Cricetulus griseus: one gene and its partners. The protein of the gene in region 5 purifies or fractionates together with the protein of the main gene of each other region. This does not show direct contact. Links are inferred from orthologs where the notes say so. Each region holds a gene or a part of one and is shown on either strand. Other genes may lie near its edges.

Region 1 (3,500 bases), on a different chromosome or scaffold from region 5:
ATCACAATCTGTTGGTTTTCTGAGATGGGTGTCTCATGTAGCCTCAGAGTCACTAGGTGGGCAGCCAAGGGATGACTTTGACCTTCTGGTGTCCCTTTCTCAACCTCTCAAATGCTGGGATTATGTTTAAATTAAAGTCAGTGGTTGTACTAAATATAATTAAAGTCTTACTTACAGACAAATTCTTTTTTTTTTTTTTTTTTTTTTGGTTTTTCGAGACAGGGTTTCCCTGTGGCTTTGGAGGCTATCCTGGAACTGGCTCTTGTAAACCAGACTGGTCTTGAACTCACAGAGATCCGCCTGCCTCTGCTTCCCAAGTGCTGGATTAAACACATGTGCCATCACCTCCCGGCTGACAAATTCTTTTTTATGATTTAATTTATTTTAATTTTATGTGCATTGGTGTTTTGTTTGCATGTATGTTTGTATGAGGGTGTAAGGTCCCCCAGAACTGGAATTATAGACAGGTGTGAGCTGTCATGTGCTGGTAATTGAATCCTGGTCCTCTGGAGAGCATCCAGTGCTTTTAACCACTGAGACATCTCTCTAGTCCCCATAATCAAAATTTTAATGTATTCTGCTCATTTTGATTTTAGAAAATAACTTATATGACATGAACTTTTGATTTTGTCTTTTTTTTTTTTTTTTTTAGTGATCAGCCTTTGTACCTTTTCCGAATTCAAAGATGGTGAAGCTAGATATTCACACTCTGGCCCACCACCTCAAACAGGAGCGCTTGTATGTGAGCTCTGAGAAACAGCTCATTCAGAGGCTAAACGCAGATGTGCTGAAGACAGCTGAAAAGCTGTATCGGACAGCATGGATTGCAAAGCAACAGAGGATTAATTTGGATCGGCTAATTATAACTAGGTAAAGTCAAAATTTTTAGGTTATACATTTTGTGAAACTGAAGTCTATGCTACTAACTGTAACTAAATGAATTTCTTTAAGTGCATGTTTTTAAATCAATATTAGGTGAGTCTTCGCTTATAAAATATGTGGAGTTTATTTTGTTTATTAATTAGCTTAAATAGTGAATAGAAAATTATAACTTAAGGATTAATATTTTATACCATACTAGTTTTGTGTCTCTTTGTATATATAACATTTTATTGTTATAGAGAGTAAATTTTGTGATATTACTTATATACATTTCTATGCTTTGGAATTGTATGTCTTTTAAAGAAAAATGTTTTTTATGTTATGTGTATGAGTTTTTTTTTTTTTACATTGAGTTGTTATTTTCTTTTTTTATTATTGTTTACATTCCAATCCCAGTTCCTCTTCCCTCCTCTCCTCCCACTACTGCCACTTCCCCCTCCGTCTACTAAGTCTGTCCCATCATCTAGTTGAGGCTCCATATAGAATGGGCTCCACTAAGTCAGTTTGTGCTTTAGAGTTAGATCTTTGACCTGCTGCCACTGGTCTCATATATTTTCTCAGTCACACTGTTGTCACCTATATTAAGGGAGTCTAGTTCGGCTTTAAGCAGGTTCCCCATTTGTCAGACCTGAGTTAGTGATCTCTCACTAGCTCTGGTCAGCTCATTCTGTGGGTTTCCCATCATGGTCTTGACTCCTTTGTTCATATTATTGGCTCCTCCCCCACTTTGTCCAGGAACTTGGCCCGTTGGTTAGTTGTGGATTTCTGCATCTGCTTCCATCTGTTTCTGGAAGAGGGTTCTAGCTTCTCTGCGGTTATGGATCATAGGCTGGGTATCTTTTGCTTTATATCTGGTATCCACTTATGAGTGAGTACATACTATATTTGTCTTTCTGGGTTTGGGTTAACTCACTTGGGATGTTTTTTTCTAGTTCTTTCCATTCATTTGCCTGTGAATTTTAGGATGTCATTGTTTCTTACCTCTGAGTAGTACTCGATTGTGTAAATATACCACATTTTCTTTATCCATTTGTGTAAATATGCCACATTTTCTTTATCCATTCTTCAGTTGAGGGGTATGTAGATTGTTTCCAAGATCTGGCTACTACAAATCATGTTGCTATGAACATAGTTGAGCAAATGTCCTTGTGGTGTGACTGTGCCTCCTTTGGGTATATGCCCAACAGTGGTATTGCAGGGTCTTGAGATAGGTTGATCCCTAATTTTCTGAGAAATCACCATACTGATTTCCACAGCAGCTGTATAAATTTGCACTCCCACCAGCAATGGAGGAGTGTTCCCCTTTGTCCACATCCTCTCCAGCATAAGCTGTCATTGGTGTTTTTGATCTTAGCCATTCTGATCTGTGTAAGATGGCATTTCAGAGTAGTTTGGATTTGCATTTCCTTGACTAAGTGTTGTTATTTTTCTTCAGTTGCAGCTGCGGGTGATGAAACATGAACCACAAGACTCAACAAACCCACGTGGAGTTTATTGGGAAAAGGAAACACAGAGAGGGGTAGAGATGGAAGATGGGACAGAGATGGAAGAGATAGAGGGCTTAGGAGGCACTCACTTAAAAGGGGAAGCTTGCACATGCGCACAGAGTCCTTATGCAGCCACATAACGCATGGCATAGCCACGCAACACAAGTCTCTTTGAGCCATCTAAGTATCTGCCTGAATGCCGGTGTGCATACCCTGCCCATTGTCAGGGGGCGGGGTCAGTATAATGCTTGGATACCAAAACTAAGGATGTTGAACCTTTTCTTAAGTTTCTGCCATTTGAGATTGTTCTGTTGAGAATTCTTTGTTTAGATCTGTACCCTTTTTTTTTTTATTTGGTTTACTTGGTAGTTTGATTTCTAGTTTCTTGAGTTCTTTGTATATTTTGGAGGTCAGCCCTCTGTCAGATTTGGGGATAGTGAAGATCTTTTCCCATTCTGTAGGGAGCCTTTTTGTCATGTTGACCATGTTCTTTGCTTTACAGAAGTCTCTCAGGAGGTTCCATTTATTAATTGTTTTATTTATTTATTTATTTATTTATTTAATTTATTTATTATGTATACAGTCTTCTGCCTGCATGCCAGCAGAGGGCACCAGATCTCATTCAAGGTGGTTGTGAGCCACCATGTGGTTCCGGGAATTGAACTCTGGTCCTCTGGAAGAGCAGTCAGTGTTCTTAACCACTGAGCCATCTCTCCAGCCCCCCATTTATTAATTGTTGCTTTCAGAATCTGTGCTACTGGTGTTCTATTTAGGAAGGGTCTCCTGTACTTATGCATTCAAGGGTATTTCCCACTTTCTCTTCTATGAGGTTCAGTATGGATGGATTTATATTGTCTTTGATCCATTTGGACTTGAGTTTTGTGCATGGCGATAAATACGGATTATTTGCATTCATCTACATGTTGACAGCCAGTTATACCAGCACCATTTGTTGAATATATGTTCTTTTTTCCATTTTATATTCTTTGCTTCTTTGTCAAAAATTAGGTGTTTATAGGTATGTGGGTTGATACCGGTCTTTGATTCCATTCTATTGGTCCACCTGTCTGTTTTTATGCCAACACCAAGCTCTTTTTTTATTACTATAGCTCTATAGTAGAGCTTGAAGTC
Region 2 (3,500 bases), on a different chromosome or scaffold from region 5:
CCACTTATTAGCTGATGAAACTTCCAGCAGCTATAAACAGACACGTTGTTGTGTGGACATGTCTTTCATTCCTCTTGGGTAGTTACCTAGGAATGGAACTGCAAGGTCACGGGTTATGTTCACTTTCTGTGAGATTTCAGCTTCCTCACTTGTCAGTGGGGAGCCTACCATCACTACCACCACCACACAGTACATCATGGGTAATTGCTGACAGAGGGGAAACTGGAAATGGTGTCCCACAAACCTTTTCCTGCTCAGGATGAACTTTCAGATCCATGCACATGTCCAAAAAGTGGGAGAGCAGAGCCTGGTCCAGAAGGATGTACACAGCCACCCCCCGTTTCCTACAGATCTCCTGTAGGTCTCGGAAGATGTCAATGTCAGAGAAAACGTCCATTACCACAGCAATCACCTATGAGATAAGGCAGAAGGAAAAGTAAGGAACTCTAAATACCATCCTCATAGACACTCCCTTCTTCAGCACTACAAATCTCCCCCTCACTATTGGCTCTTTTGCACCCTAAAGACATCCAGGCACCCACATCTTACATGTCTTAGCTTAGCCCAGCTAACTAGTGCTCCCCAATGTCCCTCAGCCAACCTATTCCACACTGGCAAACTTCTCATTTAGCTTCTGCACCATCACTAAACCCCACCTCCAGGTTCACTTTGGACTAGCAAGCTGTCTAGGCCAACACATTGGAATTCAAATCACACTGCTTTCCCAGTCAGACTTCAGTTTTCTATGTCTGTATGGCTGATAAATCTTGGGGCTGGCAAGATGGTTCAGCTAGCAAAGACACTGCTACCAAGCTAGATGACCTGTATTCAATTCCCAGAACTTACATGTGGAAGGAGAAAACCAACTCCTGCAACCTGTCCTCTGATCTCCATATGTACGCCATACCAGTAACATGTGTAACCACGCACAAGTAAGTGCAAAGAAAAAAAACACCTCAGATTCTCTATGAAGCTCTTTTTTGCTATTAGTATTCAAGTCAACAGTTTTTTGCCTATTGTCTGATTTTGGATCATAGTCTCTGAGCATTTTTAATCTTGTTTTAGAAAGATTGTATCCATTACCAATTCACTGTTCCCGATTCCACAAACCCCCATCAGTCAGGATAAGAACTGAAATACTTCCTGAAGATTCTGACCTTTGGTTCAGCTCTGCTCTTTCTTCTCCCCAGCCATGTGTACCCCTTGATAAGAACTGATTTTCCACACCCAGGCCAGACCACAGCTAAGAGCCAATGCTCACCCATGTGTCCATGGACAGAGTATCACTGTTTAGAATGTCTGCTAGGCTACAAAACAGGCCTGCTGTAAAACCCAAACTGCACAAGTGCAGGGTCCAAAAGACCCTTGGTGTCTGCTCAACCACCCATGTTACCAGTATGGGCTGCAGCTACCTGGGCAGCCCCTCACAAGGAAGATACAGGTGGCCCCTAGTCTCCCTTCCTCATTTACAGAGGCTGTTACAGCTAGCTACAGAGTCTCACATCACCTACTTCACCGGCCTGCAGAAACTGCTGGCAGAGAGGCAGGGCTGTAAAAACACCCAGGCTTAAACAAGTCCCTACAAAGCGAGTCAGGAAGCCAGCATTTGGGAGCTGTTTTGCAATTGGGAGTGGTCAGGGCTTCTCCATCTCTCAGCTTCAACAGTAAAAATCCCTGTCTCCGAATCGCATTAACCCCTTGGCTGAGCATTCCCATTACTTTTCAGCCTCACTATTCCTTCCTTGTACTGCAGCAGAGGCCTCAAATGGGATGCATTTATCTTCATGGTAGAAATCGCAGGACAGTAAGTAACTAGCCAGCTTTGCTCCTTAAGCATTTGTACGGTTAAAAAGAAACACAGAAGCCAGGAATGGGGGGTGCAAGCTTATAATCCCAGCACTCAGGATGCTGAGATCAGCCTGGATAGAGTGAAAGTCTATCTTAAGAAAAAAAAAAACTAAGAGAAAGAAATGAAGAGGCAAAGGGTCAATGTTGCCACCTTTCTAACTCTAGGGTTCCATCTGCTCAGATGAGTGGCCTTGAAATGCCAGCTCCCAGAAGCAAGAGCCACCTGGGATGATCAGTGTCTCTCTGGCTGGCCCTATACCACTCCCTGCCTGACCTTCATAAAACCTCCTCAACAATGAATAAAACAAAACAAGAAGCATTTTAGAATCAGTGGCATCTTCAGAAGCTTATTGGCTCTGATGGCTTTCACATGTTTTAGAGTGTGTTCACCCCGTCCACTTGGGATCTGTAACAGGGTTTAAGGCAAAAGCCAGGACACAGAGCTCAGCATGGCCCCTTGGCGCTTAATCTCTCTCAACCTTAGTTTCCTTCCCCTTGGAAAGGTTTGGATAACAGCACAGCGTGGCAGGACTGCAGTGATGGTTAAGGGAGGGAAGTGTGGAATGAACGGGCTTATCAGTTCCGAGTCTACCCGGTACAGAGATGGCTACAGAGCTGACAGAACGTGAGGTGAGGAAAGCAAAATGATGTCTACACATTCTGTAGGGAGCAGCATGTCAGCTTCCTTGTGAAGACAGGCACCTATAGACACACAGAAGAGGGAGGCTTCCTGGGAGAAGTGACATCGGAGCTGAACCACAGACAAGAATAAGGTTAGGATAAGCCTGACCTGGCTGCACAGATCTGTAATCTCAGCTCCTTGGGAAGTTGAAGCAGGAAGATCCCAAGTTCAAGGCCAGCTTGGGTTACACACTGAATTCAAGGCCCAACTGGGACAAGAGGCTACTGGAGAAATGAAGGGCTCTCTGCCAGGAAACCATGTGATGACAGAAGAGGCTAGGAAGGATGTGTGCATACCAGTGTGGCTGGAACGTACAGTATGCAGGAAAGGGAGCCACGGGATGTGACTAGCAAAGAGGGATGTATAAGGTAGTAGAAGGCTATGGAATCCATGTCAGTAGCCTGCATAGGAAGAGTATATAGAGCGATGAATCCAGATGCTGGGAAAGATGCTGCTGCAGATGAGAGACCTGAACCTACTTCCTCTAACTCAGGACCAGGAACCCAGTGAGGGATGGGGAATCTTTGGGGCTAACAAGTTTCTGCAGCTATTTGGAGGACTAAGGACTGAAAGAAGAAAAGTCCCAGCCAGAAGCTATGAGGCTACGGGGGACAGGAAGAAGCCATGGGAGAGCCCAGCAATGGGCACGGGGTCACAGAAATACATACAAGCTGAGAGAACTTCGAACCTGACTCAGAGATAGCAGCAAAACTTTCAGAATGTGCTTGAATCCAAGGTGCAAGAATTGGAACAGAACTCCTGGAGAAAACTATGAAGACCTGCTAGCCTCTCTGATGGTCAGTGGAGCCCCTGTGAGCTATATACAGCTAGGTGATGGATTAGTCCCCATGCTGAGAAACAGTCAAATGGGAAAAGAGAACCCAGATGATGCAGAGTGATGGTAATGAAAATGCCCTAGAGGCTACTGAAACAGGCACTAGGAACCCAGCCCAGTTGGCAGGGCTGGAGA
Region 3 (4,297 bases), on a different chromosome or scaffold from region 5:
CTTATCCCAGGACCCAAGAATGGGAATGGAAAAGGTTGACAGGAGTGACAGGGCTGTTCACAAGCAACACAGATGCTGCATCTCCCAGTATTGCACACCTTATGGCTGCTCTGAGAACTTTGGGAGGTAGAGGCAAAGGGCAAGGCAAGGCAGTGGCCAGAAGAGAGCAAGCATCTGAGGCTCTGTGAGACCTAGAAACTGGTCAGGGAAAGTATTGAACAATGGGGTTGGCTGCGAGGGGTTCAGACATCAGCCACTGGGGAGCATTGTGTATGTAGGGACACTGGAGTGAGCTTAGAGAAACTTAGGCTAGATGTGCTGGCTTCAAGACACCCAAAGGGGAAGTTGGAGGATACCTGAAGTGGGGCTGAGGCGCTGGCAGTGAACTCTTAACCTAATTGTTAGGTTGGGAACTTTGGGAATACCGTTTAGAGCTGAGGCCAGAGCCAGGAGGCAAGCAGGCTGGACAGATCTGGTCCTGTCCATAGGCACTGGAGCCCAGGAAGCAGGCACAGGACTCCAGACTCGTGGTGGGACTCCCCAAGTGCTGCCCATGGCTGGATCATTTTTCATTTTACTGCCGCCAGAGGGCGACCAGCTCATCACAGGAGACTCATGCTCCTTTGGGAGGCAGCCCTGAGCCATGGGCTAGCACAGTATAGAAAGGGGGCTTCTGTGTGCTTCTGGCCTACTTCATAGACTATATGTGTACACACATGCATCCATGAATGCATACATTCCCCTGCACATTCATGCATACACGTGTGCATATATAGACAAACACTTGTGCATGCTATGCTTGTCTGGGCCCAGGGAAGTCCCTTACTGCCAGCCCACCCCTTAGCAGAGGTAGAACACCCAGGATCTCACCTGCAGGAACCTCGGGGTTCTCAGAGTAGGACTCTTTGGCCGGCTGGCCTGTCTTCGTCTGCAGCTGGTGATCTTTCGGCTTCCCTGAAGGAAGGTAGCAGAAGTGTTGGGATGTGAGTTGGCCCTCGCCCCATCAACTTCAGGTGGCATTTATGGGACACCAGCTAGGCTTATTCCTAGGCTCTTAGGGAAGGCCTCATGAGGCCAGCACATGCCACAACTTTAATGAGCAGCGTCTTCCAAGAGCAAATACATCTTAGCCTAGTAATACTAAGAACCAACAGACACACCTACCCCTATACCTGGAAATGAAACTCCAGGTCTGGGCATATGGAAGTCCCTAAAAAGTGTGCCCCTCATTGTCCCGACTGCTGTCTCCCACCCAAACAATGCTTCTGCCATTCTCCACGCCCTTCAGCAAAGCTCTGCTCTGCCCAGCTCTGCTCCAGACTGGTGCTCTCTGTCTGCTCTTGAGGTTCCTGGGCAAGGGCAGGATGGATAGGGGTGTGTGCTGGGCAGGGCTGGGCCAGGCAAACCAGTCTGACCAGTGAAGCAGAGCTGGCAGGGATGAGGCCCTGGGCGTGGGTGTGAGTCAGCGGGCTGGGGCTGGGGAACCACTGGGGAGGATGTCACCTGGAGCGACGCCTCGAAACAGGAGGCCTGGGAAGGAAGGCTCAGATGAGAGTTGGTCCTGGACCCCCAGCTGCACCCCTGGGACTAACAGGTGGGCCTTGGAAGGGTCCCTTGGGCCTTGTTTTAATTCAAAGGGGGAGCTGGATTCCCAATCATGGCAGTAGGCAGGCCCCACACCCATACTAGGAGACAAGCTAGACTTTTCTTTCTAGGCTTTTGAAGGCTCAATGTCTTTACCAGGCCACAGTGTGGCCCAAGTGCTTCCCACTGGGGCTAAGGTAGCCATTATCTCTAGCAAGCTCCCCAGGCAAGCTCAAGCCCAGCAGGGCGCATCTGCATAGGCTTCGAGTTCCAGTGGTCAGTTGGTTTGGGATGGTCTATGGTCAGTGAGGGTCTGAGCATTCAGGGCTGGTGCATTTGAGATGTAGCTCTTAGCTCTGCGGACAGTTTGAGTTTCCCGCGACCGAGGGTGGGGTGAAGGGTGGGGGGCCTTGGTGAGTCCAGGCAGGACCAGGCACGTCCTCAAGCAACTGCCTAGCTACAGAGAGCCGCCCCCAGTTTCTTAGCCTCCCTCCCAGTCTGGCCAGTGAAGTCTGTGGTCTGTGAAGTCCCGCACCCTGTGTCAGCACGTTAGTCAGCCTCCTCGGTTAGGGTGAGCCACTGTGCCGCCAAAGTCCCTATAAACTCCCTGGTGTGGCCCAGCGCCACAGAGTGCGGCCTGTGGGACCTATAGACAGAGCCAGGGTCCTGTGCTGTGCTGTGGGCAACAGGGCAAGGGGTAGAGCAGCCACTTGGGACAGAGGAACAGAGGGCTGAGCCTGGCTGAGAGCAAGCAGCCTACTGCAGCCTCTGGGATGCCCTCTGAGCTCCCCAGCAAGGCCAGTGGATGAGACGGTTCCCTGGGGAGCAGACATCTGGTGAAAGACCACTGGATCCTGGGCCATGTCTGGGAAACGAGGTCGAGCTCGGAAGCCCCGAGGCAAGAGGGTGGGCAGGGCCCAGCGGGCAGCTGGGCAGAAGTGCCCTGAGGCTGAGCCTCCGCCCCCCAATACAGGGGGCCCTCAGGATCAGTTGGGGGTGGCCCTCACGGGCCACGTGACCAGCACTCAGCCGGCTCCTCAGGGACACTCTAGGGCCACCAGGCCAGAGCAGCTACAAGCATCCTGGAGGCCAGTTCAGGCCACCACTGTGGAATCCGAGCTAGTGCTGGCTCCTGAGCACATGGAGGGCTGTGGAGCCAGGGCCCCCATGCCAGCCCTGGGCCCTGAACTGCTGAGACTCCACGAAGTCCAGCTGTGCCTAGCCCAGGAGCAACTGCTGCTTGAGGATCGGAGGCGGCAGGTCCAGCTGCAGATGCAGCTCTGGCAGGAGGAGCAGCTGTGGCTGCAGCAGCTGCAGGAGGAGCAGCTGTGGCTGCAGCAGCTGCAGGAGGAGCAGGCCTGGGTGCACATGGAGGGGCTGCAGCTGGCTGTGGCCCTGGAGCAGCTCCGGAGTGAGGGCCTCGAGGCACTGCAAACCCAAGGCCAGGTAAGGCCTAGAGGGCTATGGGTAGGGGCTTGGGCAGTCTGATGGTACAACAGACACTCAAGTATCTTATAGATGCGTGAGGGCTGGGAGGCCAAGTTGGCTACAGAACCTCTGTGGGCCTGTATGCCTGGAGGGGCTTGTGCCCACTACACAGAATGTTGCCCGGATGAAGGACAGCAATTCTGCCCAGACCACACAGTGCTTGGCAGGCAGAGGCCATTGAGGGAGGTGGGGGGAGGGAGCTTGTTTGGGGATGGTGGTGTCAGGGGACCAGGACGAGTAGCTACAGGAGCTGTCCAGGAAAGCATGCATAGTAAGGTGTGGGGTGAGAGCTGAGTGCACAGTTGACAGACAACAAAACTGAGGAACAGTCCCCTCTCCAAGTATCCTGGACAGCTTCTTGTCCAGTCCACCTGCCCTGCCCACTATTTACTGCAGCTTGGTGCTCGGGGCTTGAGATCACAGAGGCAGCACGCAGTGCTGGTACCCATTATCCTCATTCCAGGAGGAAGACTGGCCTCAGACGCAGCTGGGGCTAATTTGGGCAACTAGGACTTCACCCCAGCGTGGTGTGGAGTCACCATCGGCTGCCAGCTCCAGGGAATCTGGCACTGCCTGGGCTCAGATGCAGGGCTGCATCTAGGTCTGGGTGGGTACCCTCGCAGCAGGCACAAACTACAGGCAGGTTTGGGTGCAGAGCCCAAGAGATAGCCTGGAAGATGTTCACATCTGTAGCACAATGAATTGTAAGTTGAGTGAAGGGGTGATAAAGGCTACGGGGGTGGGGGGGGCAGGCACAGGGAACAGGAGAGTCCACTTTCTCATGATCTACAGAAGCTAGCCCAATCTAGTTGTAACCTTTCAGCCGGGAAGTGCTACGGAGAGGTGATCTGAAGGGGAAAGTGTGAGGCGGGTTTGATGAACAGTGAGTGGACAACCACTTACGAAGATTCCCAACTTGGATTCAAGCCCTTCTCTTTTTCAATATTGTTGCTGTTTTCAAGAGACAGAGTTCCTCTGTGTTACCTTGGCTGCCCTGGAACTCACTCTACAAACCAGGCTGGCCTCAAACTCAGAGATCCCCCTGCCTCTGCTTTCCATGTGCTGGGATTAAAGGCGTGTGCCACCACTGGCCAGCTTCAATATTGTTTTTAGTCATCTGCCCCTCCGATCTCCTCCTGGCCCCTTTCTTACCTCCAGGGGCTCTAACACTGTGCCTTTCTGAGTCCTGTGCCCACTCCCCACCCCAGCTCTAGAGGTCCAGGCT
Region 4 (4,186 bases), on a different chromosome or scaffold from region 5:
CCTAGACTGGGTGCTCACACAGCCCAGGTCCTAGGCAGCATTGTAAAAATTTCAGAGTCTTTACCCTGAATATCAGTGCTCATTCTGCATACCAGGCGCCAGGAAAATAATAAGCAGCAACGGTAAAAGCAGAGGGGAAAGGACCTAATACAGGCTTCCCAATGTAACAGAGGCTTCCCTAAATAAGCTCAAAATGCTAATAGGCTCCTTACCATTTATTTTCCTGTGTTGAAAGTACATACTGGAAACAGAAAAAGTCAAGGGTAGCTGGAGACTCTTGCCTTAGGTTAGCCCACCCAATTCTAACATGGAGAAATGAAAGGGAAGAGTACAGCTGATAATTATCATAAGCAATAGACATTTTGTGTGCCTACATGGTAGGGCACACAAAGAGAACGCATTTCCTTGGCAAATGCCCAAAAGATTTAAAAACACAAGAGGAAACTTAAGAAGCCATGCCATTCCTAACACTAATGCAGGTGTCTGTATTGTGGGATTTTTCTCTAAGAAGCAAACACTGCTGCAGATTAATCAATCCCCAATTTTCCTTTAGTACCTGAGCAGTGGCTGGGCTATCAGTCCCCCACAGCACCACCTACTGTTGCTGGGCTGTACCTACAACGGCTCCACTTCTGGAGGACCGACCCCAAGACTTCAAAACATTGAAAAATGAAAAAGATTGTCACTTCAAAGTCAATGGTGGAGATAGAGGGTGAATTGATAACTAACAGATGATCACATAAAATATCTAAGTTGTTAGTACCATGTTTTAGTTGCTGATAATGGCAAGTGGGTAATTTTATTTTTTTTCTCGACTATTTAGCCTACAGATCTTGATCCCAAGGATTTAAAACTAGAGTAATGACATGCTCTGAGGGATACCCACACAGTGAATACATTCATCTTCCATTATCGATAGGCATGGTGGGTGGGTGTTAACTAGCTCCTATGACCCCTTGAGAAGGGGTGGTCTAAAGACTAGGTTCACAGCATGGGGTTTCCTCATGTTTAAGCCCTTTATAGACAACCAGGCCCCTTAGAGACAACCAGTTTCTATTATGAAACCCACTAGGCCATGGCAGGATTCAGACTCATAGACCGACCACTAACAAATCTTCCCTTCCCAGCCAGCTTGTCAGTCTCCTGCGAACAGCCCAATCTCAATTCTGATCTAAAATTAAATCACAGACTCAAAATAGACCACGATTTAAAAGCTCTGGGATGGAAACAAACAAAAGAAACATTTTTTTCTGAACAGCAAAAACACGAATTGAAAATAAAACCAAAAATAAATATAGCTCATATTTCTCTAGTTCTGCTTCCAGGCCCCATGTTAAATAAGGCCTTTGAAGATTTTCGGGTTCAAGAAGTAAAGTCATCCCCAAGTTCAATTCACGATTTTAAGATGAATAATCTAAGAAGTGTCACAGATTAAATGTATTGTGGTAAATCAATAGCATGTTACCATCTACCTACCCTTATTGTTAAATAACTATGCTTAATAAACAGCTCTTTTGAATGACCAGGTCTCAATAACACAAAATGAATACAAATACAAATAACAACACAGTACAGTCACATGACTTAGAATGGTGGATGCTAAATAACTCTTTAACGCTAACAGAGGAAATGAAAATGGAAGTCATATTATTCATACAGAAAAAAATGCTGATTCTGCTATCATACTCCTCTCTGTAAAAATAGACTCCGCAATCCTCACAGCCAGCCATGCACTGTTGTCACAGATGTGCGCCAGATTTACACAGGACATAACTTGGCTGGGGAGGCGGGGGACGCGGAGTTTGCTTGAACCTTAGGCAGGAAAGAATGCCTGTTCTTTCTGGGAGAGGGTGACTGTTAATAAATCCGAATAGCAACTTGAAAGGGTTAAAAAGCTGGGCGTCAGGTGGTTTTATTTCCACTTTGGGAAGTATAAAGCAAAGTTATCTCCTCTTCCTTCTCCACTAGCCAGGATGGAGAGACTTGTCACTGCCATTTACACCACCAGGCTCGGCTCCTGCTCTAACAAAAGGAGGGCAGCGCAGACACCCAGCTTCCCACAGCCTGGCATTGTCGCCAAGTTCTGAGCGCCGCTAGGTGACAGGGGCACAAGTGAGCCAGGACCAATTTTTCCTATTTCCAAGAAAGCAGAGACAACCGAGCTGTGGGAGGACTGGAGAGTGTTTGTGTGTTGGGGGGTGGGGGAGACAAACAAACTTTCAGAGCCCCGGGTTCTGCATTCCCGCAGGAACTGGCAGCACCCTGGCGCGCCCACGGGATGACCTGGGTGGGTGGGGACGCAGTCCAGAGAGGGGCCGGGACGACCGAGTCCTCGCCCACCCTCTCCCCTGCAGCTAGAGCTCCTACCGAGTCTGGGCCTCGCCGCCGGTCCAGGCGCGCAGCCGGGCTCAGGGCGGACAGCGGGGCCGGGCTCCCGGCGTCCAGGCCCGGTCTCGGAGCAGGACCTTGCGCTGCACTCCCCACCCGCCAGCGCCCCTGCTTACCTTAGCCGTTCTCCGGCCCCTGCAAGGCGTCCAGGCCAGGAACCGGGCTCCGGAGACCGCGAGGAGAAGCTTGGGCCCTGCGGGGCACTGCAGGCCGAGATGAAGCAGCCACCGGGTCCTCCCAGCCGGCTCCCAGCCGACCGCGGTGGCCGAACGGGCCCAAATCGCGCGGCAAGGCAGGCTGGGCTGACCGCGGCGGCGTTTGCACCTCCGCACCGAAGGGGCGGGCTCAGGCAGGCTCCGCGGGAGAGCGAGGGTGGGAACTTGGAGCCAGTGGCAGCAGGCAGAGCTAGTGTCCCCGCGCAGCCGGCACGCCCCCAGAGCTCCCCGCCCCCAGCCCACCTTCCCGCTCCACCCCCTCCGCACTCTGCACTCCTCCCCTCTCACCTCCTCCCCGCCCACCTGTCCCCAGGCTCTGCTCCCATCAACCCCACACCCACCACGTGCCCCACTTCCCCATTGCTCCCACCCCTGAGAAGCAACCCTGACATGTGACTCTCCCACCCCAAGACAGTGCAGACCAGGCTGTGCTGGGTACCCAGAACCTGTGTGCAGATGTGTTGAGCCCACCTGATATGCCCTTGTGGAAGATCTTGGCGCCCATTTCCTAACTCCATGTGGTCAGTAAGGTTTTCTCCATGGGCAGGAAGCATCCAGGAAGACTAAGCCCATTCTAATTGAGTTTCGCTAGTAGGAAATTTTAACGTTAAAATCCATGCTTATCAAAATGACCAAGTTTAAAGGAGATCGGAAGTCACAATGTATTTCTCGCAGAAATATTAAGCAAAATTTCTTTGTTTTTAACCTTTAGTACTTTGAAATGTAATGACATTTGTGTGGTTTTCTCCAAAAGACCATTTATACATATTTAAATTATGCAACTCTTAATTCCTTATAGTTCAGAAACTATAAAAGTCCGACTTCTATAATAAATTTCTGGCTATTTGCAGGAGTATTGTGCTAATAAGTGACGTAATGCTAGGCTTTGAGTGGAACTTTGGCATGCAAATGAGCTCCTTGTCAGCAAATTACATTGTCGCCTCCATTTCTACTCCAAACCCAGTGACAGTGGAATGAAGCTATTTTTCATCATTATCATAGCAAATGCAGGCAGTTTCTGGCCAGAGCACAACCCCTCACCACTCCACCACCACCACCACCACCCACCCCCCCACACACACACACTTTTGCTTATTTGCTCCGAGCCTCTTCCCATTGTGTGTGGCTGAGACACAAACCTCCATTTGCAGTTTCCAGGGCAGAGTAAAATATATCTTGTCCCCTGGACATAGAGATGGGAGACAGGAGGCCTTTATCTACTTAAGAAATACCAAGGTCCTTTCTCCTAAATGTGTCATGAAAGCCTGCAGCACCTGTATGTACCCCATCGAAGAACAAAACCTAGCCAGAAGAAAATCCACATACTAACCACTTTAGCCAAGCCCTCTCTTGAAGTATCGGAACACGGGGTCTGAAGATGTGCACAGTGAATTCCTTTCTTGCTCAAAAGTTTTGCCATAGGCTCCCTTTCAAAATGTTGACTTATAAAATTATAAGAGATTACCCTGTGCTTTGGAAGTCAGAAACATAACCAGTGAGTTCTAGTTTTTGTGTTGCCCAAATCAAATTATTTCTCGCTAATGAAGTATGGGCCAAGAAGTCACTTAAAGTCCTGAGTTTTA
Region 5 (4,177 bases):
GGCACAACCGGGCCCCAGCACAGTGGCACACAGCAGAGGCAGGCAGATCTCTGAGTCTAAGGCCAGCCAGGGCTGCATGGTGAGATCCTGTCTTAAAACAAAACACAACAACCGAAAACCCCACACACCATGATAGACAGGTAAGCCAGGGACTCTGACCCCTAGGATCCCAGCAATCCACCTCACATCAAAAGTCATCAAAATGGAACTCCTGGAAAAAGTTACCTCACATGATCAGATGGGCCACCACCCACATGCCTGTAGAAGATCCTGGGCAGGATGTGTATGCACTGGTTCAAGGCAGCCTCTCAGCCCTTCCCTCAAGTCCCACTGCTCTGGTTGGGACATGAGGCTGCAGGAACCAGGCAGGTCTGAAAAGATGTGACTGAGTAAGCTGCATCCCCAGACAGAGCCTGCACCCTTCCCAGAGAAGAGTTTACCTCTCTGAATGGCATGTGACTCCACATCACAATTTGGTTGTTAGGATCAATCTTCACAAAGTACAAAACTGCTTGGCAAAATCTCAGGGAACAAAAAGTTTCAGAATACCTATTTTCTGGTGCCCATGAAAGGGTGGCTAATGGATTGCCTTTTCAGTATAGCTCCTATATCCTGCCAAGATCTATTGTTCTATAAATAAGCCAAACATCTCCCATTTACCCAGCACTCTGACTCCCAAACACTGCCGAGAAGGCATCTGGCTGACTACTTGATCATAAATATTTAAATAAGCAAACCCCAAGTATCTCTAAAACATATTTACTCATCAGGCCACTATGGCAAGAAGTACAGGTTCAAAGCACTCGTGTGGTGGCACAGAGCAGGGTTACCTTACACGCTAACCAGGGACCATAAATACCTATGAACTACCCACACAGGCCAGTTGTCCACCCCACACTGCCAGCTGTCAAGGTCCTAGGAGTCACAGTAGGAAGGTCTTGAACTTGGGTAGCCTGAAAGGCAAGGCCCAAAGCACTGCTTCTTCCTGACTCTGCACTACAGGTACAACTGCCACACAAACGCAGAAGACCGGGCTACTCAGCAGAGCATGTTTGCCTCTAACAGGCAACCATCTTCAGGATGCTCATCACCAGAAGTTCAGGGGTTTTGGAATGACTTACAATTCCACTAGGAGACACGGGGGTAAAAATGTTCATTTTAAAATTCCCAACAAGTGGGTTTAAGCAAGCCTGTAATTACATACATGCGCACACACACACACACAAACACACACACACACACACACACACACACACACACACACACACACACACACACACACACACACACACACACAGTCTTCACTGTTAAGTTTGAGCTAACCCAGGGCAGTCGAATCCTAAGTCTGGATTTTCAAGTCTACCTTGTGAATTCTGAGAGTCAAGGGATGAGAACTTTCACACCACTTCCCTCTGCTCTGCTCTGCCAACCTCTCCACATGGACAAGATTGTGCCAGCATTAATCAAAGCTTCATCCCCACTGACATCCGAGTGTCCAGTAGTCAACTTAAGATGCTCAACATATACTGAGGACCCACGGCCAAAGGGCCAGGAGCTGACCGAGCTCAAAGGGGACATCTTCAGTCCTGTTTTGGCGTAAGGTGGACGATCCGTTCGGCAGGTCAGCTAAACTGGAAACAGCGTTGTGGAAAAGGGCAGGCTCAGACAGCCACAAGAACCCTTAGAAGCCAGCCCGTCATTTCCCCATTTCGGGCTGGGACACTCCCCACCTCCACGCTCCATTCGGATTGTTTTGACGTTTCTCCCCCCCACACACACATCAAAACACCCAGGATCACCCCGCAGGGGCGAGGGGCAGTAAGTACCAGACCCTCCGAGCGAGCGAGGAGCAGAGCGTGGCCTTTGTTTACTGCGGTGACCTTAGGTGGGGGAGGATGCTGACGCCTCTGGGGCCCCGCAGCCCGGGCCCTGCCCCCTTAGGGCCCCACCCCCAGCCCGCCGCCTCCCCCGCCCCGCTGCCCCCTGGACGAGCTCCAACACGGCCCCCCGCCCGAGCCCGCCGTCCTTTCCCACGCCCTCCGACACCCCACCACGTCTCCCGAAGCCCGCCGCCCCCCGCCCGCCCCCAGACGCCGCTCTTCGTCTCCCGGGGCCCCGGCCACTCCCGGGCTCGCTCGGATCTCGACCCCCACGGTCCTGCAGCCCCCAAAGCCCAGCTGCCCCCTCCCCGGTGCCCCAGCCCCTCCCCGCCCCCCCAGCCCGCCGCGCCCAGCCCCCGGCCGCGCTCGGCCAGCGGCCGTTGATGTAGGCCGCGGCCGGTAGCCCGGCCCTCGGAGTGCGGGGATGCCGAGCGGCCGAGTGTCCACTACGGCCTGACGCAGGCCTCGGCCTGCCGGGGACCCCGCCCGCCGGCCCGCACGGCTCCGGGCTGCTCGACGGCGCCGGGCCTCACCGAGATAGATGTCTCCGAAGGAGCCGCTGCCGATCTTGCGGCCCAGCCGGTACCTGTTCCCGACCCTCAGCTCCATGGCGGCGGTGCGGCTCGCTGCTGCCCGCCCGGCCGCTTCCTGGGTCTGTGCTCCGGGAGGCGGCGCCGCTGCTGCCGCTACTGCGGGTCCGGTCCGGCTCCGCCCCCCTCACGGCCCCGCTTTCACCATCGCTTTCTGGTTGCCCCGTCGCTCTCAGCGCCTCAATACGGGGCGGATGGGACAGTCCGAGCACCGCCGCCGCTGCTCCGGCCCCTGCCGGCCCCGCTCACCCTCTCCCCGCCGCGGATGGACTCGGATCTTCCGGGCCTAAATCCCCCTTCAGCTGCCTAAAGGAGCCGCCGCCATCGCGCTGTGACGTCACTTCCCCTAGCAACCCAGAGGGGCGGGGCCACGGCGCTCGGGGGCGGGGTTTGGATACTTGACGGCTTGCGCAGTCGCAACCAGAACGGTTTCCTCTGTCCCACTGTCCACCGCTGCCGCAGGACGACTACGTCTAGTCTCTGTGGTCTCTCCGTTTGTGTCCAACAGAAATCTGAGGAAGCTAAACCGTGCGTGGTAGAGAACGTCTTGTAGTTCCAGCCCTTGGGATGATGAGTCAGGAGGATCATTGAGTTCGAGGCCACACTGGGGCTGCAGAGACCCTGCCCCTGAACACACCACTAAATAGACCAAAATAACATGATGGGGAAGATTTTGCACAGCCTGGGGAAGGCCCTAAAGTGCTGCCCTTTGCAGGTCGGGGAACGGGGCAGAGAGGGAGCTCCAGGAACGGCTCTGGGGTCACAAATAGACTGTTTTCTAGGAGCCACCAGTCAGTCCTGGGCTTTGAGGGCTGCAGAACATGTGTAGTTGTGGCCTGCCACTGCCTGCCACCTTCTTGCACATCAAGGATGGAAGAAGAGTGTCTTCCTAGGACCCACGGTGGGCAGAAGGTAAATGATGAATTCACTGAGGGTGTAGAGTGTGTGTCCCAGGCCCGGGTCTCTCTCCAGTGCCAGCTGCCTGGAGACCATGTATGTCAACATTTTTTTTCTGGTCTGTATTGGATTTGAATATTCTGCCCGGAAAATGCAAACATGAATTCTGAAGTCCAGGCTAATAGCCAGCTCCCAAGACTTGGCTGTCCATTCTGACCACTGGGGAGGCCTTTGGAGAAGCCACCACACAGGAGGTGCACCCAAACTAGGGTCCAGCTTCCCAAGTAGATGGCTCTCTAGGCCGGCCCACCCCATCCAGCTAGAAACACAGAGCCACAGATCAATTTAATGTTCATATTTGGACAGCTAGCATCCACACCACTCTGTGCACAGGGGTCTGGAGCACAGGTGACACCTCAGAGCAACTCCTGGCTGGTGGGCGAGAAAAGCGGTCCAGCAATTGCCCTGCAGGAACACATGGAGCTCATAGCTCTTCTACTCTCCTGGCTCCACCACCTTCCTTTTGGTGGTGCTGTAGTACCTACCTGTACATAGCTGGCAGTCACGACAGGGGGGAGCATTACACAGCATGGCTGGAGACAGAAGACACCAGAAGGCAAACAAACCAGTGGCCCCTGAGTGGTGGGTAGTTGGGAACTGCTCAGCTTCTCAGTCCAGGAGTCAGAGCCAGACTTGACCACACTAGTAAAAATAACCTCACTGACAGAATTCATTTACTATTTTTCTAATGAAAAATTAGAAACTTATGAACAACACCTATCTTCCCCATCAGAGAAACCCTTATGTTGA
Region 6 (3,500 bases), on a different chromosome or scaffold from region 5:
CACCCCAAATTCAAAGTCCTTTAGATTTAAGTACATTATGTAGCTCTTGCCGCCCACTAGACACCGCAATGTAGTCATACTTCTAGGGAAAGGACAGCCAGCAGCACTTCCAAAGGTCTACAGTAAGACTAGACACTGTTTTAAAATAATTAATTACACTTCTTCACTCCAGCTATTGGCTTACAATTACAGGTTAAATTCAGCTTTATCATTTACAGATGGTTAAATAAATTAGCCAAGATCATATAACTGATAAAATTGCTAATCAAGTATTTCTTCATCCCAAACATTATATATTTTTCTTTATACCTTGTATATTTCTTCTCAACTACGTTTACAGAAAGAAACCATCAGGAAATCTAGTCTCCTGCTGTAAGTAAAGTTTGTTTTGGTTTACACATAATGAATTTTGATGAATGCAATGATGTTACAATGGCACTATCAAGTGTCTCTTAATTATCTAGTAGCCAACTGGAACTCATGGAAAACATTTTTATACATAACATATAAGTATGATAACCTTGAGTATATATTCACAATCAACCCAATAAAAACTAATTTTACAATATAGCTGAGTTTCCCACTTAGAAGCAACTTCTCTTATCCTATTTTGCCTCCTTATAATCACTCATTCAAGTTAAGAGAACTGGTACACTTCTTATTACCAAAAGGGCTTAGCACTTCTAGGTTAATAACAGGGTAAGACATTTGCCTGAATCAAATCATGATTTTTTCCCATCCACTTGCAAATAGAAGTAAATTTAGTTATGTTACTTATAGAATTAAGTTTTGTTTAAAAGGTAAAATCATTTAAAGGCCCATAAATTGTGATCTTTTCATATTTATAAAGACAATTTCATACAGAAGTCACTGTAAACTTACACAGTTTATGAACTTCCTAAACTCTTAGCACATGTTACTTCTAGTCTAAGCTCAATTTGGCCACAGAATCTTTGCCGGCCAAAGCATCCCAGGGACTGGCTAGTGTTTCGATAAACACACTGGCAGACAGGCATGATAACATGTTCAGATGACTCTAGCTGGGCAGTTATATTACTTCAGTTTTCATCTCAACTAAAGAAAAGGACAAACTATTATACACATAACAATCACATAAAATATATCAAAGTCAATTATAGTGATGTGTCAAACAAGGTATAAATTTAATAATACTGACATCTCAGAAAGGCAATAGTGGTTGAGTTAATAGTTGAATAAAAATGTATAAATAGCATTTCTTAGTTTAAAACAGAAATGCTAAATATTTTTATCTTATGCATTATGTCTACAATTTTGGTATTATTACTGAGTGAAAAAAAAATCAATGTAGCTAAGTAAAATGCCAAGGGCTTGGTATATACCCACTTAATTCTTCTACAATTCTGATTCTATTATTTCCATTTAAAACTTTACTCAAATATGTACTTAATATCACCCAAAAGTGTAGTTAAAAATGTCTAAGATGGTAAGCTAAGTGTCATCATGTATTTTCTTGTAATAAAGGCACAGACTTACTTGTCCAGGTCGTACAGTGTATGTGAAATGCGCACAATGACTTCCACTCCAGCCTCAGTGGCCAGTTTCTTGATAGCTGCATCTCGTTCCTTCCCAAAAGGCTCAGAGTCATACTCAATGGAAAGCTTAGTGATGTTCCATTCCTAAAAACAAGATGAAAAAGGGGATAACAATATATTACAATTTTATAATTATGTTCTTCTTATAACAATAAGGGAAAAGCTCAAAATCAACATCAAACAATTATACATAAACCAAATTTCAAATATGCAGGTGGAAAGCATACAATCTGTCAATGTGAAAATATGCAAATCACAAATATATGCCAACTAGATTAATGGCACTGTGTCAGGCATGAGCCAATCTAGCAACATACTTAAATGATTCTTTATACTGAAGTGCTTAGGGAGCATTCTTTTCAATTATTCACATTATCTTATTTAATTCTGAATGAAAACCACCTCCATTTGACATTTTGCAGACTTTTTTTTTTTTTTTAGGGACAAGCTCGGGTTCACAGAGACAGAACACATGAGTTTATGCCTGCTGATTCTAAAAAAAAAAAAAAAAAAAAAAAACCTTTGATAGCTGATATGGTATGAACTGTTTTGTTTAGAATGACTGATTTCTGACTATTAAAAATGTCAGTGAACTGGATGCTGGCAGTGCACAACTTTAATCCCAGCCCTTGGTAGGAGAAGGCAAGTAGATTTCCAAGTTCTAGGCCAGCCTGGTCTATAAAGTGAGTTCCAGAACAGCTACTCAGAGAAACCCTGTCTTGAAAAAAACAAAACAAAAACAAACAAAAAGTTGACAGCAGTTAACTTGGAACCAGCAATAAAAACAGGAACTATGATTGTTATTTATCAGTAACTTACATCTCTTTATAGTTACTATAAATAAGGAAACTATGACGTAAGAGAATTAAATGACTTCTCAGGATGGTAGTTAACTTTTGTTGAATTCTAAAATCTGTTCTGATTTACTTCAAAACGAAAAAAATCTCATAATTCTACTATTATTTAACTGACTGAATGATACCACATTGTGATAGACCAAAAGGGTCAGCAATGGTACACTGTACATTATACATTTTGCAGTCAATTAGCTTTTATAAAAATTTTAATTTGTTAGTGTGTGTTTGCACTCATGTATGCGAGTGCCATGGAAGCCAGAAGAAGGTGTCAGACCCTTGGGAGCTAGAGTTATAGACCATCGTGAGCTGTCTGGTGTGGGTACTGGGATGTGAACTCAAGTCTTCTAGAAGAGCAGCAAGCTCTGTGGACAGCTGAGCCATATCTCTAGCCCGGTACATACATTTGAAGCATATTTAGGCATTTATCCTATTTTCCTAGAAATTAATCCTTGAGAAAAAAAATGATGGATTAAACATAAGCACATTTAGAGCTTAGATAGCTGGGCACATTTTCAGTTGTTTTGATTTATATTCCTATCAGCAGTACCATAGAGTGATTGTCAGCTGTATATAATAGTTATCTTTTAAAGATGTCTTTGAAACTACTAGGAGAAAAATAAAGCATTTAACAGTTTTTCCTTTCTTGAAGGCCTAGAATGTAACAACAGTTAATAGCTGTTTACCTTCAAGCAGAACTGAGGAGAGAAAATAATTACTTATTTTGCTGTCTTGTTCATATTTGCTAGTACAAATGCTAGTTTTGTAATTTAAGAATAAAATGTGAATGAGAGTAGAAAACATAGTGTATACATATGTATGTTTCATGTTAAGGTGTACAGACTAGTAGGAAAAACCACAAGACTAAAAGCTGAGATTGGCCTGGTGAAGACTGTTCACTTTGTAGACACACCGCTCCACAGGCTTGCATCATGTGATAGTGAGCAGAAAGCACGGGCATCGTGAGCCCTAAGCAGCATGGTTTCCACGTATGCACTTGTGTGCACTGTAGCCGATGTCCTCTTGATTTTGTTGTAACTGTGGCTTCTTGTCATTTAATGACAGCAACCTT
Region 7 (3,500 bases), on a different chromosome or scaffold from region 5:
TATCCCTTCTTTCTCTAATTCAAAATAGGCTAGGAAGAGAGAAAGAAAAATTACATTTCCTCCTGAAAGGCCGGCCCCAATTAAAATTCTAAATGTCTCTTACACCAAGAGCACTGGTTTATTGGCAGATGATTAAGCCCTGGACCGATGTCACTCTGTTAGACCCGTATTACAAACGTGGTTTATGTGGTGCGGGGGCAGATCAGTAAAGAGCTGTTAGCAGATGACAGGTTTGATTACCGCTGGCTGCAGGCAAGACGTATGGATCCCCGAGGAACAGCAGCACCGGCTGGTGGGACAGCTTGCTGGAAAGGTCAAAAACAGGCATGTCAGCATCAGGGGACGATGGTAAACAGAAAACACTACAAACTAGCTTTGAGGGGATCAAACTGCTGTGTGGGATGTCTCCAGGTCTCTGCATCTTCTAGTGTGGGGGGATATCAGCAAACACACAGAGGGAAGTCATGGGTGCTGCACTTGCCTTCCAGATATTTCTCTCTGGGATATGAGACAGACACTCATCTATGCTGTAAATATCACTGCTGGAAAGTACATTCTGAAATTGCAATTTGATCGTAAGCAAAGCCGTATTCTTATTACTTGCATGAAGCCAAATGGGGCTCTTAACCCTTTTCATTCCCAATTATAAGCAATTAACCCTGGAAATTCCTGTCAAATATTTATCATCATAAAACCAATATCCAGCAAAGGTTTTCAGGAGAAACATGACTTTAAACAGGTATACCATGGGTAGTTAGACATTAAACAAACTACAGTTCTAGTATTGATTTCTGAAACTGCTCATTGACTGGTGTTAGTTCTTACCTTGACTCTTCAGATTCTGTCTCATCAAAAGATCTGAAATTTTTAATAAAAGAAAAGAAAAAACTAATTAAGTTGGGCCAATATTTATGTCAGCAAAGCAAAACGTTAGTATCCTTAGCACTGGATTGGGAAACAAACAGAAAACTTGAGTTTGTACTGAGCCACAGCATGGCTGACAAGTCATTCTAAGAAATCTTCAGCCTGGAAGACTCTGGGCATTTCAATTTTCCTTAAGATCATTTAAAAATCCCATGGCCTTATTGTTACGGGATAATGCTCTTGTATACTGTAAAGATTTGTCACTCATATTGGTTTAATAAAATGCTGATTGGCCAGTAGCCAGGCAGGAAGTATAGGTGGGGCTACCAGACTAGGAGAATTCTGAGAAGAGGAAGGCAGAGCGTGAGTTGCCAGCCAGATGCAGAGGAAGCAAGATGAGAATGACTCACTGAGTAAAGGTAACAAGCCACATGGCTAAACATAGATAAGGATTGTGGTTAATTTAAGTTGTAAAAGTTTGTTAGTAATAAGCCTAAGCAATAGGCCAAACAGTTTATAATTAATATAAGCCTTTGTATGCTTATCTGGGACTAAATGGCTATGGGAACAGGTGGGACAGAAACTTCCATCTACATCTTATTACTGTTTTGGAGTTAGAATAAAAGTAAGAAGACCTCATTCACTGAAATTTGTTAATGTTGCTGTGTAAAATTCAAGAGCATCTATGAACCTGCCTTCCCAGGAAACACGAATACACAGGACAGAACACACTGGCCTCATAGATCATTGGTGAGTATGGAATGTAATTCAGGCTCTGGAGTGAGTAGCAAGTGGCCTTGAGTCAATAACACTGATAAGGAGCGGTGAAAGGTATCTACTGCCCTGCATTCCGTAGACAGCTCAGGTTTAACCCAGTCTGAGGAATAGGCTGGAAGATGAGGGAAAGTATGGCAAAGCCCTGTGCCCTGCTAGATTTGTGTTGCCTTAAGTCTCTGGGGATTGACTGACTGTGCAGGGGTGCTGCTAACTGCTTTCAGAGACTAGTTCAACCCAGCTTGCTGTAGATTTCAGACTTTAGAAGAACGTTCTCCAGCTGCCAGTATGTTGTACCTCTAGTTTCATGGTTAATAGGGACTAGAGACTACAGCCCATCAGTTATGAGTTCCTGAGGGAGAAGCAGTGGTCAAAGAAAGCAACCCTCCATGGAAGGCCTGGGTTCTGCCACTTGCATGGCTTAGGAAAGGCACTTTGTGGGTCTCTGACCAACAACCAAATGAGGGGTGTTGGATCAATGATCTCTAAAGTCATCTATAGCTTTAGAGACTGGAGAGATGGTTGAATGGTTAAGAACACTTGCTGTTCTTCCAGAGCATCTAAGTTTGGATCTCAGCGCCATGTCAGACAACACACAACTGTCTGTAACTCCAGTTCTGGTGGATCTGATGTCCTCTTCTAGATTCTATAGGTACCCCCTTCCACATACATGGCATACACAGACACAAACATACACATAAATAGAAGTATACCTTTAAAAAGCTATATGAATATGTATACTTGGCACAAGTCAAGGGACTGACCTTGATTACACTCTGGATTCATAATTACCACCCGAGACACTATGTGACACCGTCATTTAAAAGGTTAGTTCCTTATGTCTAGGCATGGGTTTGCCTGGACCATTTGTTGCAGGACAGAGGCAAAGACTTGGGAGGGATTCCTCTCACTATAGGAATATGAGAGAGAGAGAGAGAGAGAGAGAGAGAGAGAGAGAGAGAGAGAGAGAGAGAGAGAGAGAGAGAGAGAGAGATATGCCTCAACTAAGAGCTTAGATGTGGCTAGCTTGCCATGTGGCACCACTCTGGGGTGATTGTAACTTAAAATACACACCCACAATGTAAATAGCAGTTCTTACCCACAACTTTCTGCCTTTGGTAAGGAGGGCAAGTGTCTTACATTGAGGAAATCAAGGAAGAGCTTGGGAAGTTCTTCATTTTCCAAAATGACGGCCTGTGTGAAAGCAGAGAACAAAATTAGAGATGGGAGGGAAGTCTGTTATACCATCAATCAAAGGAACTCTATCAAAAAGTCATAACTGTCCATCAAAGTCATCACATCACCAGCAACATTCCTCATAATTGATATGAGGAGTAGAGGCAGGCTGATGCATACTATACAGCATGAGCACGCCCTGTTCTTTATCCACTCCTTCACAGTACATTTACAGAAATGTCTCCTACCTTCAGATACTCACTAACGGGGAAGACACTGGGGAAGCACTGGACACGCTCCCTGCCTTCACAGAGACTGATCCATCCTGAACAGTCCAATCCCAGGCACATCGGATACACAAATCAAATGTTCCTTGTTGAGTAATAAAGTATTTACGTTTCCATAGCAGGCCACTACTCCTAGGAAATACTGCAGGTTTTCCATCTGGAAGATTTAGTCTAACCCCTTAGTTATCACCTGTTTCTGCACAAGGATCAGTTGACATTTATTGCCATCTGGGCAGCTCCACTTAAAGGGTCAGTGACAACTTTACCGCTAAGTGTAAATCAGGGTATATATTGAAAAAAAATCTATAAAGTTCTTCCACTTAAATAGCTCTGCTAAAGAGCTGGCATAATGGCATAAACATGTCAGCATGCCGAGATCAAAATTATGCAACATGGAGG

Evidence for each region.
Region 1: the proteins of Csnk1d (region 5) and Gapvd1 purify together in Homo sapiens (affinity purification with mass spectrometry; 5 studies listed by BioGRID and IntAct, counting the BioPlex papers as one, with this or other methods). This does not show direct contact. The link is inferred for Cricetulus griseus from reciprocal best matches to the Homo sapiens genes CSNK1D and GAPVD1.
Region 2: the proteins of Csnk1d (region 5) and Fam83d purify together in Homo sapiens (affinity purification with mass spectrometry; 4 studies listed by BioGRID and IntAct, counting the BioPlex papers as one, with this or other methods). This does not show direct contact. The link is inferred for Cricetulus griseus from reciprocal best matches to the Homo sapiens genes CSNK1D and FAM83D.
Region 3: the proteins of Csnk1d (region 5) and Fam83h purify together in Homo sapiens (co-immunoprecipitation; 5 studies listed by BioGRID and IntAct, counting the BioPlex papers as one, with this or other methods). This does not show direct contact. The link is inferred for Cricetulus griseus from reciprocal best matches to the Homo sapiens genes CSNK1D and FAM83H.
Region 4: the proteins of Csnk1d (region 5) and Fam110b purify together in Homo sapiens (affinity purification with mass spectrometry; 3 studies listed by BioGRID and IntAct, counting the BioPlex papers as one, with this or other methods). This does not show direct contact. The link is inferred for Cricetulus griseus from reciprocal best matches to the Homo sapiens genes CSNK1D and FAM110B.
Region 6: the proteins of Csnk1d (region 5) and Cry1 purify together in Homo sapiens (affinity purification with mass spectrometry; 3 studies listed by BioGRID and IntAct, counting the BioPlex papers as one, with this or other methods). This does not show direct contact. The link is inferred for Cricetulus griseus from reciprocal best matches to the Homo sapiens genes CSNK1D and CRY1.
Region 7: the proteins of Csnk1d (region 5) and Snx24 purify together in Homo sapiens (affinity purification with mass spectrometry; 3 studies listed by BioGRID and IntAct, counting the BioPlex papers as one, with this or other methods). This does not show direct contact. The link is inferred for Cricetulus griseus from reciprocal best matches to the Homo sapiens genes CSNK1D and SNX24.

Annotation. Positions count from the first base shown.
Region 1 is NC_048599.1:146,454,088-146,457,587, reverse strand, and holds part of Gapvd1 (GTPase-activating protein and VPS9 domain-containing protein 1), read left to right. Parts: intron 1-652; 5' UTR 653-685; coding exon 686-870; intron 871-3,500. UniProt on the Homo sapiens protein: Acts both as a GTPase-activating protein (GAP) and a guanine nucleotide exchange factor (GEF), and participates in various processes such as endocytosis, insulin receptor internalization or LC2A4/GLUT4 trafficking.
Region 2 is NC_048599.1:20,711,899-20,715,398, forward strand, and holds part of Fam83d (protein FAM83D), read right to left. Parts: intron 413-3,500; coding exon 245-412; intron 1-244.
Region 3 is NC_048595.1:373,308,700-373,312,996, reverse strand, and holds the start of Fam83h (protein FAM83H), read left to right. Parts: upstream 1-1,497; 5' UTR 1,498-1,594; intron 1,595-4,297. Other genes in the region: Iqank1 (putative IQ motif and ankyrin repeat domain-containing protein LOC642574 homolog), read right to left, coding at 871-954. UniProt on the Homo sapiens protein: May play a major role in the structural organization and calcification of developing enamel. May play a role in keratin cytoskeleton disassembly by recruiting CSNK1A1 to keratin filaments. Thereby, it may regulate epithelial cell migration.
Region 4 is NC_048595.1:154,718,491-154,722,676, forward strand, and holds the start of Fam110b (protein FAM110B), read right to left. Parts: upstream 2,801-4,186; 5' UTR 2,505-2,800; intron 1-2,504. UniProt on the Homo sapiens protein: May be involved in tumor progression.
Region 5 is NC_048600.1:133,470,347-133,474,523, forward strand, and holds the start of Csnk1d (casein kinase I), read right to left. Parts: upstream 2,801-4,177; 5' UTR 2,490-2,800; coding exon 2,414-2,489; intron 1-2,413. UniProt on the Homo sapiens protein: Essential serine/threonine-protein kinase that regulates diverse cellular growth and survival processes including Wnt signaling, DNA repair and circadian rhythms. It can phosphorylate a large number of proteins.
Region 6 is NW_023276806.1:150,294,645-150,298,144, reverse strand, and holds part of Cry1 (cryptochrome-1), read right to left. Parts: intron 1,659-3,500; coding exon 1,516-1,658; intron 1-1,515.
Region 7 is NC_048595.1:185,287,508-185,291,007, forward strand, and holds part of Snx24 (sorting nexin-24), read right to left. Parts: intron 2,833-3,500; coding exon 2,738-2,832; intron 859-2,737; coding exon 826-858; intron 306-825; coding exon 241-305; exon of another isoform or gene 104-240; intron 30-103; coding exon 1-29. UniProt on the Homo sapiens protein: May be involved in several stages of intracellular trafficking.